Linked DNA regions of Coturnix japonica. The protein of the gene in region 2 interacts with the protein of the main gene of each other region in a pairwise test. Links are inferred from orthologs where the notes say so. Each region holds a gene or a part of one and is shown on either strand. Other genes may lie near its edges.

Evidence for each region.
Region 1: the proteins of FHL2 (region 2) and KIAA1217 interact in binary tests that used the Homo sapiens proteins (3 or more experiments, as listed by UniProt). The two-hybrid records come from large-scale screens. The link is inferred for Coturnix japonica from reciprocal best matches to the Homo sapiens genes FHL2 and KIAA1217.
Region 3: the proteins of FHL2 (region 2) and GNG12 interact in binary tests that used the Homo sapiens proteins (3 or more experiments, as listed by UniProt). The link is inferred for Coturnix japonica from reciprocal best matches to the Homo sapiens genes FHL2 and GNG12.

Annotation. Positions count from the first base shown.
Region 1 is NC_029517.1:15,320,115-15,322,503, forward strand, and holds the end of KIAA1217 (sickle tail protein homolog), read right to left. Parts: intron 2,205-2,389; coding exon 1,710-2,204; 3' UTR 618-1,709; downstream 1-617. UniProt on the Homo sapiens protein: Required for normal development of intervertebral disks.
Region 2 is NC_029516.1:121,878,738-121,881,935, forward strand, and holds the end of FHL2 (four and a half LIM domains protein 2), read right to left. Parts: intron 2,438-3,198; coding exon 2,251-2,437; intron 1,438-2,250; coding exon 1,286-1,437; 3' UTR 550-1,285; downstream 1-549. UniProt on the Homo sapiens protein: May function as a molecular transmitter linking various signaling pathways to transcriptional regulation. Negatively regulates the transcriptional repressor E4F1 and may function in cell growth.
Region 3 is NC_029523.1:25,873,756-25,877,512, forward strand, and holds the start of GNG12 (guanine nucleotide-binding protein G(I)/G(S)/G(O) subunit gamma-12), read right to left. Parts: upstream 2,358-3,757; 5' UTR 2,303-2,357; intron 2,203-2,302; exon of another isoform or gene 2,184-2,202; intron 1,836-2,183; exon of another isoform or gene 1,816-1,835; intron 1,706-1,815; exon of another isoform or gene 1,685-1,705; intron 1-1,684. UniProt on the Homo sapiens protein: Guanine nucleotide-binding proteins (G proteins) are involved as a modulator or transducer in various transmembrane signaling systems.

The DNA.
Region 1 (2,389 bases), on a different chromosome or scaffold from region 2:
GATTTGGGCCCACAGCTGTCCTGCAGAGGCTGGGAGATGGCTGGAGCCCAGCACCACACTCAGAGTGCTGTGAGTTGTGCTGCGCTTCGATTTGGCTTTGCAGCTCCTGGACAGTGCTGGGCTCTCAGCCTGCAGAAATGTCCCCTTCACAGGGGACCAGCACAAGCACTGCCAGAACACGAGTCTGTTCCTGTCAGTGAGGTACGAGTTGATGTTTGCATACTGAGTTGTTTCCACTGCAAGGGATGCACCCTCTGAGGGCTCAGCCTTGAAATGAGTTTCAAGAAAACTCTTGCTCCCCTGTAAGGAACAAAGCAGAGCAGGGAGGTCAGACCATCCCTCATTTCATCAGTCCCAAGACTCTGGTGCTCCCCTTTTTTCTTGCTGCCTTTTTAACCAACCCGGCAGCCAAGCAATTCACTCTTGTCTGAGTTAATTAAAAAGACTCCATTTTGAAACTGATCCTTACTTATGGCTTTAACCTGGGGAAAATCAGGGTAGCGGTTTTTTTTTTGTTTTTGTTTTTGTTTTTGTTTTTTTCCTGGTAGTTTCCCTCTTTCTTTAAGGCAAACAAACAGCCCTGCTTGTGACCACCAGAAAAAATATTAGTGACAAAGTAGAAAACATAAGCATGCAGCCCTTTATTTCTGTAAAGATCTTTGCTTATCATAGTTCTGTATATTACATCAGGGTGTTTGTTATACAATAAATTTATTTACAAAACCATGAGCTCTGCAAACTTGCTGCTTTTCCTCCTGTGTGACCGTGACCCACCTGTTTCAGCCCTGCCCCATAGATATTTTGAAAGCATGCATAAAAATTAACTTTGGTGTGGTCAAACTACGCCAAGTGCCCAGCCACATACAGCATTTATTTATTTATATCTATTTATAGGTATGTACAAAAAGTTTGCCAGTATACAGAACAGTACAGAAGTGTACATTTTAAAATCCACAATGCAGTACATCGATGGGTTACCAGGTCCCAGTAAAAGAAAGCTGAAGGAGGAGGGTGAATTTAGCTCAGAAAGAAAGAAAATAATCATCGGCAACTCCCTGTGTGTGTCAAACTATTATTTGTGGGTTTTTTTCTCTGCTTGGTGAATTCTTAAATAGACTCTGAACGGCAGTGCAATAGGTTGAGTTGCCTCCTGTGCACTGAGACCAGTCTTGTTCTGTCTGTCTGTGGTGCAGAGGTTTACTGTCCAGCATACTGCTTTCAAATGTACATTATAGGATAATATCAAAATATTTTGGCAAAAAGATCTCGAAACGAACCGTGGCATTGGTTGACAAAAATAGAAATCTGTAACAAAGCTAAATAACACCAAAATAAAAGAGGAATATTTCAGTTTTACAGTTGTGTATAATCACACTGCAGTATATCTATCTCTGTTCATGTCTAGTCCCCGTAATGAAAAATAGCTTTATACAAAACCTCTTACTAAACGCCAGCCACACGTGTAGCCATGCTCAGCGCCCGGCTCACACCCACACACCACCACCATGAGGTGCTGCCTACAGAGGGAAAACGCTCTTCTATCATGACAACAGCAACAGGTTTACAAAAAAGCTTCACTCTACTCTAGTGTAGTAACTCAGTATTTAGCACATGGTTAGTATTAAGCCTCCAGCGATACAGCAAAATGGTTATGCTCCCTGGTTAGAACAGTGGCTGCAGGGAAGGAGTGGCAATCCAGCACGCAGCCTCTAGGCCGGCTCCTTGGCCGCGGGGGAGGCGGACTTGCCGGCATTTCCATTCTGCGCCTTGTAGCTGGTGAAGCTGGGAGTGTGGATGGTCCTGATGCTCTTCACACCTTGGTTCAGTGAGGTGGGAGAGGTGGAGGATGGGGGGGAGGTGGAGGAGGAAGGAGGGGGCGGGCGGCCGTTCTGAGTCTGCAGCGAGAAGGAGAGCTGGTGGCCCTTCGCGGCGTAGGGTGGGCTCTGGAACTTGGAGGAGCCATTAGCGACAGAGGGGATCAGGGAGGCCGAGTACGCCATGCGGCCTGCCTGGGGCCCGAGGAGGCCAGAGGGGGGCACGGAGGGCTTTGCGGATGGGGTAAGGGGGTTAGGGCCGTCACTGCTGGGAGCGGGGGCAGAGCTGCTTTTCCCAGAAGTGGGAGAAAAGGCAGGGATCTTAGAAGCAGGGAGGGTGGGGGAAGTAGCCTTATAGTCCCCACCAGCTTTCTTAGCACTTCCATTAGCCTGCAAATAAAGACGGCAGGAGACAGTTTGTCAGAAAGCCAGTAATACGACAAATCAACAGGACCTGGGAGAACAGCCCTACAGAGAGCAAGAGCTAACAGCTCGAGGCCTGAGATAAGTCTTGGCAGCCATAAAGGACTGGACCTGGTAGAAAACCCAAAGTACACAACAAAGAACGCAGAGAT
Region 2 (3,198 bases):
ACTGGGTTTGTACTATGCATAACATGGCCATGTTCCTTGAAGTATGCTTTGGGAAGATGGTTATCATCCAATGACTTATTTCCTCTTAATTTTATTGCCTTTGTAGCACGTATGTAGTAGAAATGATGCTATAGGAGAGGATGCTACCTATCACAATACAATAATAAAATTCAAGCAAATCCTAATGTAGAAGTTAAACTTGTGACTTTCACAAAGATCAGTGTTGTTTTAATTGTTTTAACCTTGGTTGCTGAAAAGAGTATTTTGATTTTGAGTTTAGAGCCTATGGACATGCCTTAATCAGCTGAAATCGAATCAATATTTTCACACAGTTTAGTTTTGCTAATAACTCTCCCAGTGACTGCAATTAGAAGACTGATGTATCAGAAAGGCCTGTGTGAGGATTGCTTAGTGCCACAATTTCCTAGCAAGTTGGGTGTGCAAAAAAGGTTTGTGTTTGTATGGCTCTTACATTGTGTTTTGAAAGACTGTGAAAGCATCTTATTTGTAAATATCCATCATGTAAATGCAGTTAAATCACGATAACAGTTTTGTTTTAATTGACTTTTATTTTTAAAAATACAATGTGCAGTGTAACGTTGACTAAATGTAATACTGACACTGTCGATCAGAACTGTACTTCACACAATGATCAGCTAGTCATGCAATAAAATGTGTACCTGTTATGAAGCACTCCCACTTCAACTGTTTTATCATTGTCTCTTTGACATTGCACAAATCCTTGTACTTTAAAAAACATCCTCTACGTCTGTAGTCTTTCTACATACTTGACAGCACATGCTAGACACATAACTCAAGAACACTGAGGTGAGACCACAGCCTTATTGAAATTGAATGCTGTTTGCCACTGATTTCAATAGGCTAGGGACTTCACCCTGAATATCCATCTATGAATTTATTGCCTGTGGCCACTGTAATCCTTGAACTGTATCACTTGCTCATAACTTAAATCAAATGTTTAAACTGGAATATTTAGTGGAGGAAAAAAAAAAAGTGTATTATGTCAGTAACACCCAAATGGCTTTACAGCTCAGGTTTTGCATTAGTTTTGGTTAGCTATAGAAACCTTAAACACCGTCCCTGCTATAGTAGTGTTTCCAAAGTTGTTTTCCCTCTATACTTGTAGGGTTTGAAATTCATAAGAAGGTTAAGTGATGTTAATAGTACAGCAAAACACAGAAGGGCAAAGCTAGTTTTGTGTGTTTCAGGTTATAAACTGCAAGCACAGCATTCTTCCTCTCTTCCCTGTTTCTTATTCTGAGTTTTAGATATCCTTTCCACATTCAGGGCAGAGGATGTCATCCCTTTCTGTAAGGAAGCCACGACCTACTAGTGAGAGAGAACACTTCTTACAATTAAAGCAATCATTGTGCCACTGCCGCTCTTCGAATGAGATGTACTTGGTTCCTCCGAGACCTGTTTGAAAACAGAAGATCTGTTATCAGAAGAGAAGAGCCATTACATGGTGCTACTTCAGATTCTACTTCTGGATGGCTGTGGGCATCTGACATTGTAGTGAGAAAATACTGTTGTATCAAATATTTTTCTGTTTGTTGCTATGTAAATATTGTCACCTTATTCTTGAACAAGTAGGGTTTTCATCGTTAAGTAGTTCTGCTGCTTTTATAGCTGAGTTAGCTGAGTTAACAGGAGAGAGAATGGTTCGGAATCAACTCAGATCTGCAGTCTTGGTGTTAAATGCTGATTAATTCAGATATGGGATTTTTTTTTTAAGAGTATTTCAAATGTAGAGAATAACTGCTTACAGCTTTAGAGTACTGTTATACTGGAAAGCAGTATGTAAAAGCATTGAGATTCTCAGTCACTGTCCTGAAAAATCAGGGAAGAAATATGCTGCAGTGTTAGGTGTACGCTGGTTAAATGTTGCTGGCTGAGAGACTTTTGTTACTGAAGTCAGTGTTCCCCCTCATGAGCACAAATGACTTAAAGGACATGGCTGCATCCCACCACATGCATAAATGTCACTGTGTGTCCACTGTGTTTCATACAAGTCAGGTGAAATGGAATAAACTTCAGTTTAAGGACTTCTTTCACGTCTTTTTGTTATGCACTTGGATGGCATCATAAGTATTTAAGTTCACGGTTCCTGAACTGTGTAGTATCTCTGTTCTCTCAAGCTAGTAAGAATGAATTGCTGAACCCTTATTAATATTAGATGCAGTTCAATGGAGAAAACAAAAATAAAGTGACTCGCCATGAGAGACCTACCACTGATTGGGTTTGTGCATCCAGCACACTTCTTGGCGTAGAGATTGCAGAAGCAATTCAGGCAATATGCAAACTCATCCCGGGAGGTAAAGCGTTGCCCAGACAGCTGAGTTTTACATCCGGTACACACAAAGCACTCCTTATGCCAAGGCTGCTCCCGGTAAGTCACACCTCCTGTAGTGATAGCCTGTTTGATGGAAAGTAAGACAGAAAGTGTTTTTTCTGAGAGTGGCAGATTTTCATCTTCATTTGGTAGAGAGGAAGGTTGATGAGGTTTTTGTGGGTAGGAGGAGGGAAAGAAGACTGATCATGTTATTTGGATTTAACCTTGAGAAGAGCCTGCAAGTGATTCATTGTAATTTCCCAATTTATACAGAGGAGGCCTATACTAAAGATACTTTATTTTCTGAATTCTTTATAAATTTTTTTATTTATAAATTACCCTCTTTATTTTTAAAACTGGACTTTGTAGGTCATTTTTCCATATTCATGTGCTATGAGGTGTACATCTCTGCTTGTTCACCCGTCCCATTCTTCATAATGGAAAAGCCACCTTCAATTCCTGCTAATTCCTTTGACAGCAACTGCTTTATTTCAAATTTTACCTGAAATCTTTGCTGTCTGCTTCTATGGAATTTGGGCTTTTTCCTCTTATGGGATGATGTTCTCTGATGTTAGACAAAGGAAACGTTTCTTGGTCTTGTAACTGTTCTGAGAAAGCTTTAAAATAAATCCGTTTAATTTTTCTTCCTGTCTTCGCTAAAGGGGGATTCCCTGGGAAGTCAGTCTTGTGGTGTGCTGTCTAATATGTGTATTCATCTGTCTTTACCTCTTTCCTCTGTATGAGGGCTGCTGTGAAAGTAATGCGAACTGGGGCACGTGGTGAACACAAAAGGAAGTTCTGGTAATCATAGAATCACAAGGTTGGAAAGGACCTATAAGATCATC
Region 3 (3,757 bases), on a different chromosome or scaffold from region 2:
TCCTGAAGCACCAAAACCCACTGATTTCTTCCCCATACACAATCCTACATCAACACCTACTCCCCAAGCACCCCACTCTCTGACACCAGGCCACTTAAAGCTCAGTTCCTGCACAGGGCTAAAGCAGCTTTGGAGCTGTGATGGTGTGAATGGCTCAGTTCTCATCCCAGCAAGGAGAAAAGGCCGCTGTACCTCCCAGCAGCCCCAGGCACACAGCCTGCCCTCCATCATTCAGCACATCCAGTGCTCTGATTCTCGCTCAAACTCCATCACATGCCAAGATACTGACACGGAGACAGGAAGCCGAACATAAACACGCCGCCTGCTTTACTGAACATTCAGAGAAACAAAGCTAAAAATATGGATTTCTCGGAGTCTCTGGACAGAGGGAAAAGAGAAAGAGCTGTACCGGAGCTCCGAGGGCTTCTGCCATTCCCTCTGCTCTTTGCAGTGTTCTCATCAGCAGCACAGAGTGAAAGCTTTCCCTTCACAACACAAGGACTTTCTGGTCTCCCTCCCTTCCATAGCCCTCACAGCTTATTGTGGAGAACAGAAATAAGGGGTTTTCAGAGGGGACCACAGTGCTGAGCGCTGTACGAACACTCAGGTCTGGAAAAAACTGGGTCTCATTGTGTAACATGACAAAACGCAGCAAACAGCTGCAGGATCCCAGCAGTGATTAACTCGGAGCAAATCCCGAGAGCCACCAAACATCTGCAGCTTCAATTTCCCAAGAAATGGCAAGTCTGCAACTACTTCCCAGAGCTGGGGAACTCGCTTTCTGCTTTCATTAAAGCCAATGAATGCTTTACTACTGATCCCTATCTCGGCCCTTCACAGCAAGCACCTTCCTTCTGCCCCCAGAAGATGGCTCATGCCATAACCTTTGCTCCAGCACAGGGATGAAGCGAGAAAGCTGGTGGTGAGGATTTCTGGGGCCACACCAAGAGCTTCCAGAGCAATAAGAGTTTGCTTTTGTAACACAGCCTCATCAGAAGATGCCATATCAGGACCTGGGCAGGAAACTTGTTCCAATGTGGAAGAGCTGCGGTGCGGGGCAGCTCCCCGGTGGGCTCCGTGTTTCCAGAGCTATGGTGGGCCTGCATCTCCCACAGCTCCACGGCACACAGCAGCTTCTCATGGGCTGGGCTGAAATATTCTGAACATCCCGAGGAACGCAGCGTGAGAAATGGACTTTCAGTGCTCATGAGAGTAAAGCTGCCTACACAGCCACACAGTATCTGAAACAAAGTACCTGAAACACAACACAACTTGCTTTAACCTACGATGAGATGGAGAGATGGTTCCAAGCACTGCAGGAGCCCTCAGTGCCTCTCTTAACACCAATGCTTTGATAGCAGGTAAATCACAGAATGGCCTGGGTTGAAAAGGACCACGATGATCATCCCGTTTCAACCCCCCGCTATGCACAAGGTCACCTCTCACAAACCAAAGTGGTCCCATTGCTGTGCCATGACACGGCTCCGGGCTCACCAGCTGCTGCCCATTAGAATTCATTTGCCACTTTGGCACTCGATTAAGGATAGCCTAAATTACCGCCATACATCCAACGCAAGGCTGAAATACGGGATTGGGAAGTCATTAACTACATCCTAATCCCTTAATCGCATTCGGTGGTACCGCAGCAGCACAACATCGTACCGCCACCCCATTACTTACTCACCTCATTTTACTTCTAAACGAATTCCCAACCAAGACAGACTCAAACCAGCCCCTTACGGCCGCCCCGCAGCCCGCACAGTGTCCGGCCGACCAAGCGCCCCTCGCTCGGTGCCGGGTGCTGTCGGCGCTCACCCCCTCGTGCCGCTGCCCCCATCTCAGGGCCCGGCCACGGCCTCGCGCAGCTCCAGGGCCGCGCTCCGGTTCCGGGCACCGCACGACACGACACCGGGTCGAGGCCGAGGCCGCGTCCCCGCAGCGCCACGTGCCGGCCCGCACAGCCCCGCAGGCCGCGAGGCGCTGCCCGGCGGGAGCGGCCCTCTCCCTCCGCCGAGATGGAGCGGCCGCCGCCCGGCGGGGCTCGGCCCGAACCGCCGGGATCTGCCCGCCGGGGAGGCCCCGCTGCCCGCACAGCCCGGCGCTCAGCCCGCCGCCCCTCGGCCCGTCCCGCCCCGCAACCCCGGAACGGCGCAACCGGGGGAAAGCCGGGAGAAATGAGATACAAAAAGAACCGGCCCGACAGCGGCCGGACGGCTCCGAACTCGGCCCCGAGCGCCGCGACCACCGCCGCCCGTTCCGGGCCCACCCCCCGCCCGGCCCGCAGCCCCCGGCCCGCACTCACCGCCGCCGCCCGCTGCCGTCTCCAGGGGCGACCGCCCCGCGCTCCGCCCTCCTCCTCCTCCTCCTCCTCCTCCTCCTCCTCCTCCGCCCGCTCTCGCCCCGCCCGGCCCCGACCCGACCCAACCCGGCCCGGCGGCCCCCGGAGGCCTCGTGCTGCCGGCCCGGCCCTGCGCCGCCACGGGGCCCTGCCGAGCGGCGGGTCCTGGTGGCCCTCGTGTCTCAGGAAGGAGCGCTGTAGCCTCCTCCTCCCGCCTCCCCCTTTGTCCCGTAGCGGTGCTGTCCGAGGGGCGATGCTCCTGGGGGCAGAGCTGCCGCTGTGCCCGAGGGCGGCCGGGCTGGGTGCGGGCAGCAATGGCTTCGTGTAACGAGCCGCACCGCGCGGCTGAGCAGGGCTCACAGCCCGGGATGTGGCACCCAGGGAGGTGGGCATGGGCTGGGATGGGAGCTGGGAGCTCCAACCAGCATGGTGGTAATGTGGTTCAGTTCAAACTTCAGAGTAGTGCTGTAAGATGGATAATCCTGGTTGCAGAAGCGCTGAGCAGGAGCGCGCTCAGTGTTATAAACTTACACAGTGCCCACAGTCGATGAGAGCAGGATGGGAGGGGACGAATGGACAATGCCCCCAAACCACGGCAGGCCACGGCGGGCTGCAGTGGAAGCTCATCTGCACACACCCGTCCCTGGCTCCTCCGTGATTCCATCGCCAGCGCAGCCCCACGGGGCTCCAGCGCTGCCGTGTTGCGTCACAGATCCGGTCTCTCCGGTTCCCCCGGTGTGTCCCGGTGCTGCTCGGAGCTTTGCATGTGATTTACATCAGCGCTGCAGCGTGGCAGGCCTGGCTGCTGTCAGGGCTCGTCCTGCATCCCGTCCTGCTGCAGCTTGCACGGGGTGTTGCTGCAGCCCGGAGCTGCTGCAGTTTGCAGTCAGGCCCAGCAGCCTGCAGTGAGCTCAGGGGGGCTGGGATTGTGCCAGGACGACTTTGTGACGTTTGAGGAGCACACAAACAGCTGAGGCTCCATTCGTGCCCTGTGCTCCCCCTCTGCCCATTTTTAGCACTGTTTCTCATTATCACCACGGTTCTTCAGACTTCTGACGATGACAAGAACCCCAGCTTTACACGGTGCTTTTTTTCCCCCCATGTTAGTGTAGAAGTGGCTGATTTTGTTTGGAGTCAGCTGTTTTTTGAAGGCCGCCGTTTGAATTGTGATGTAAAAAAGCCAGAGGGGGGAAAATGACACAGAGAACTACGGCAAGGAACGGAACTTTGGGAATCGCTACTTAGAAAGGAAGTTTTGCTCCATCTCCACCAGCGGCTCCCAGGAAGCAACGCCCTCTCGTGGGCTCCAGCAGCAGCTCCTGCAATTCATTGATGGTCTCGGCTTAATGAACCATTGCTGCCTCCTGGGGCCTGGGCTGGCTCAGCGAGAGGAGAGGAGGAATAAACAGAGCCCAGTTT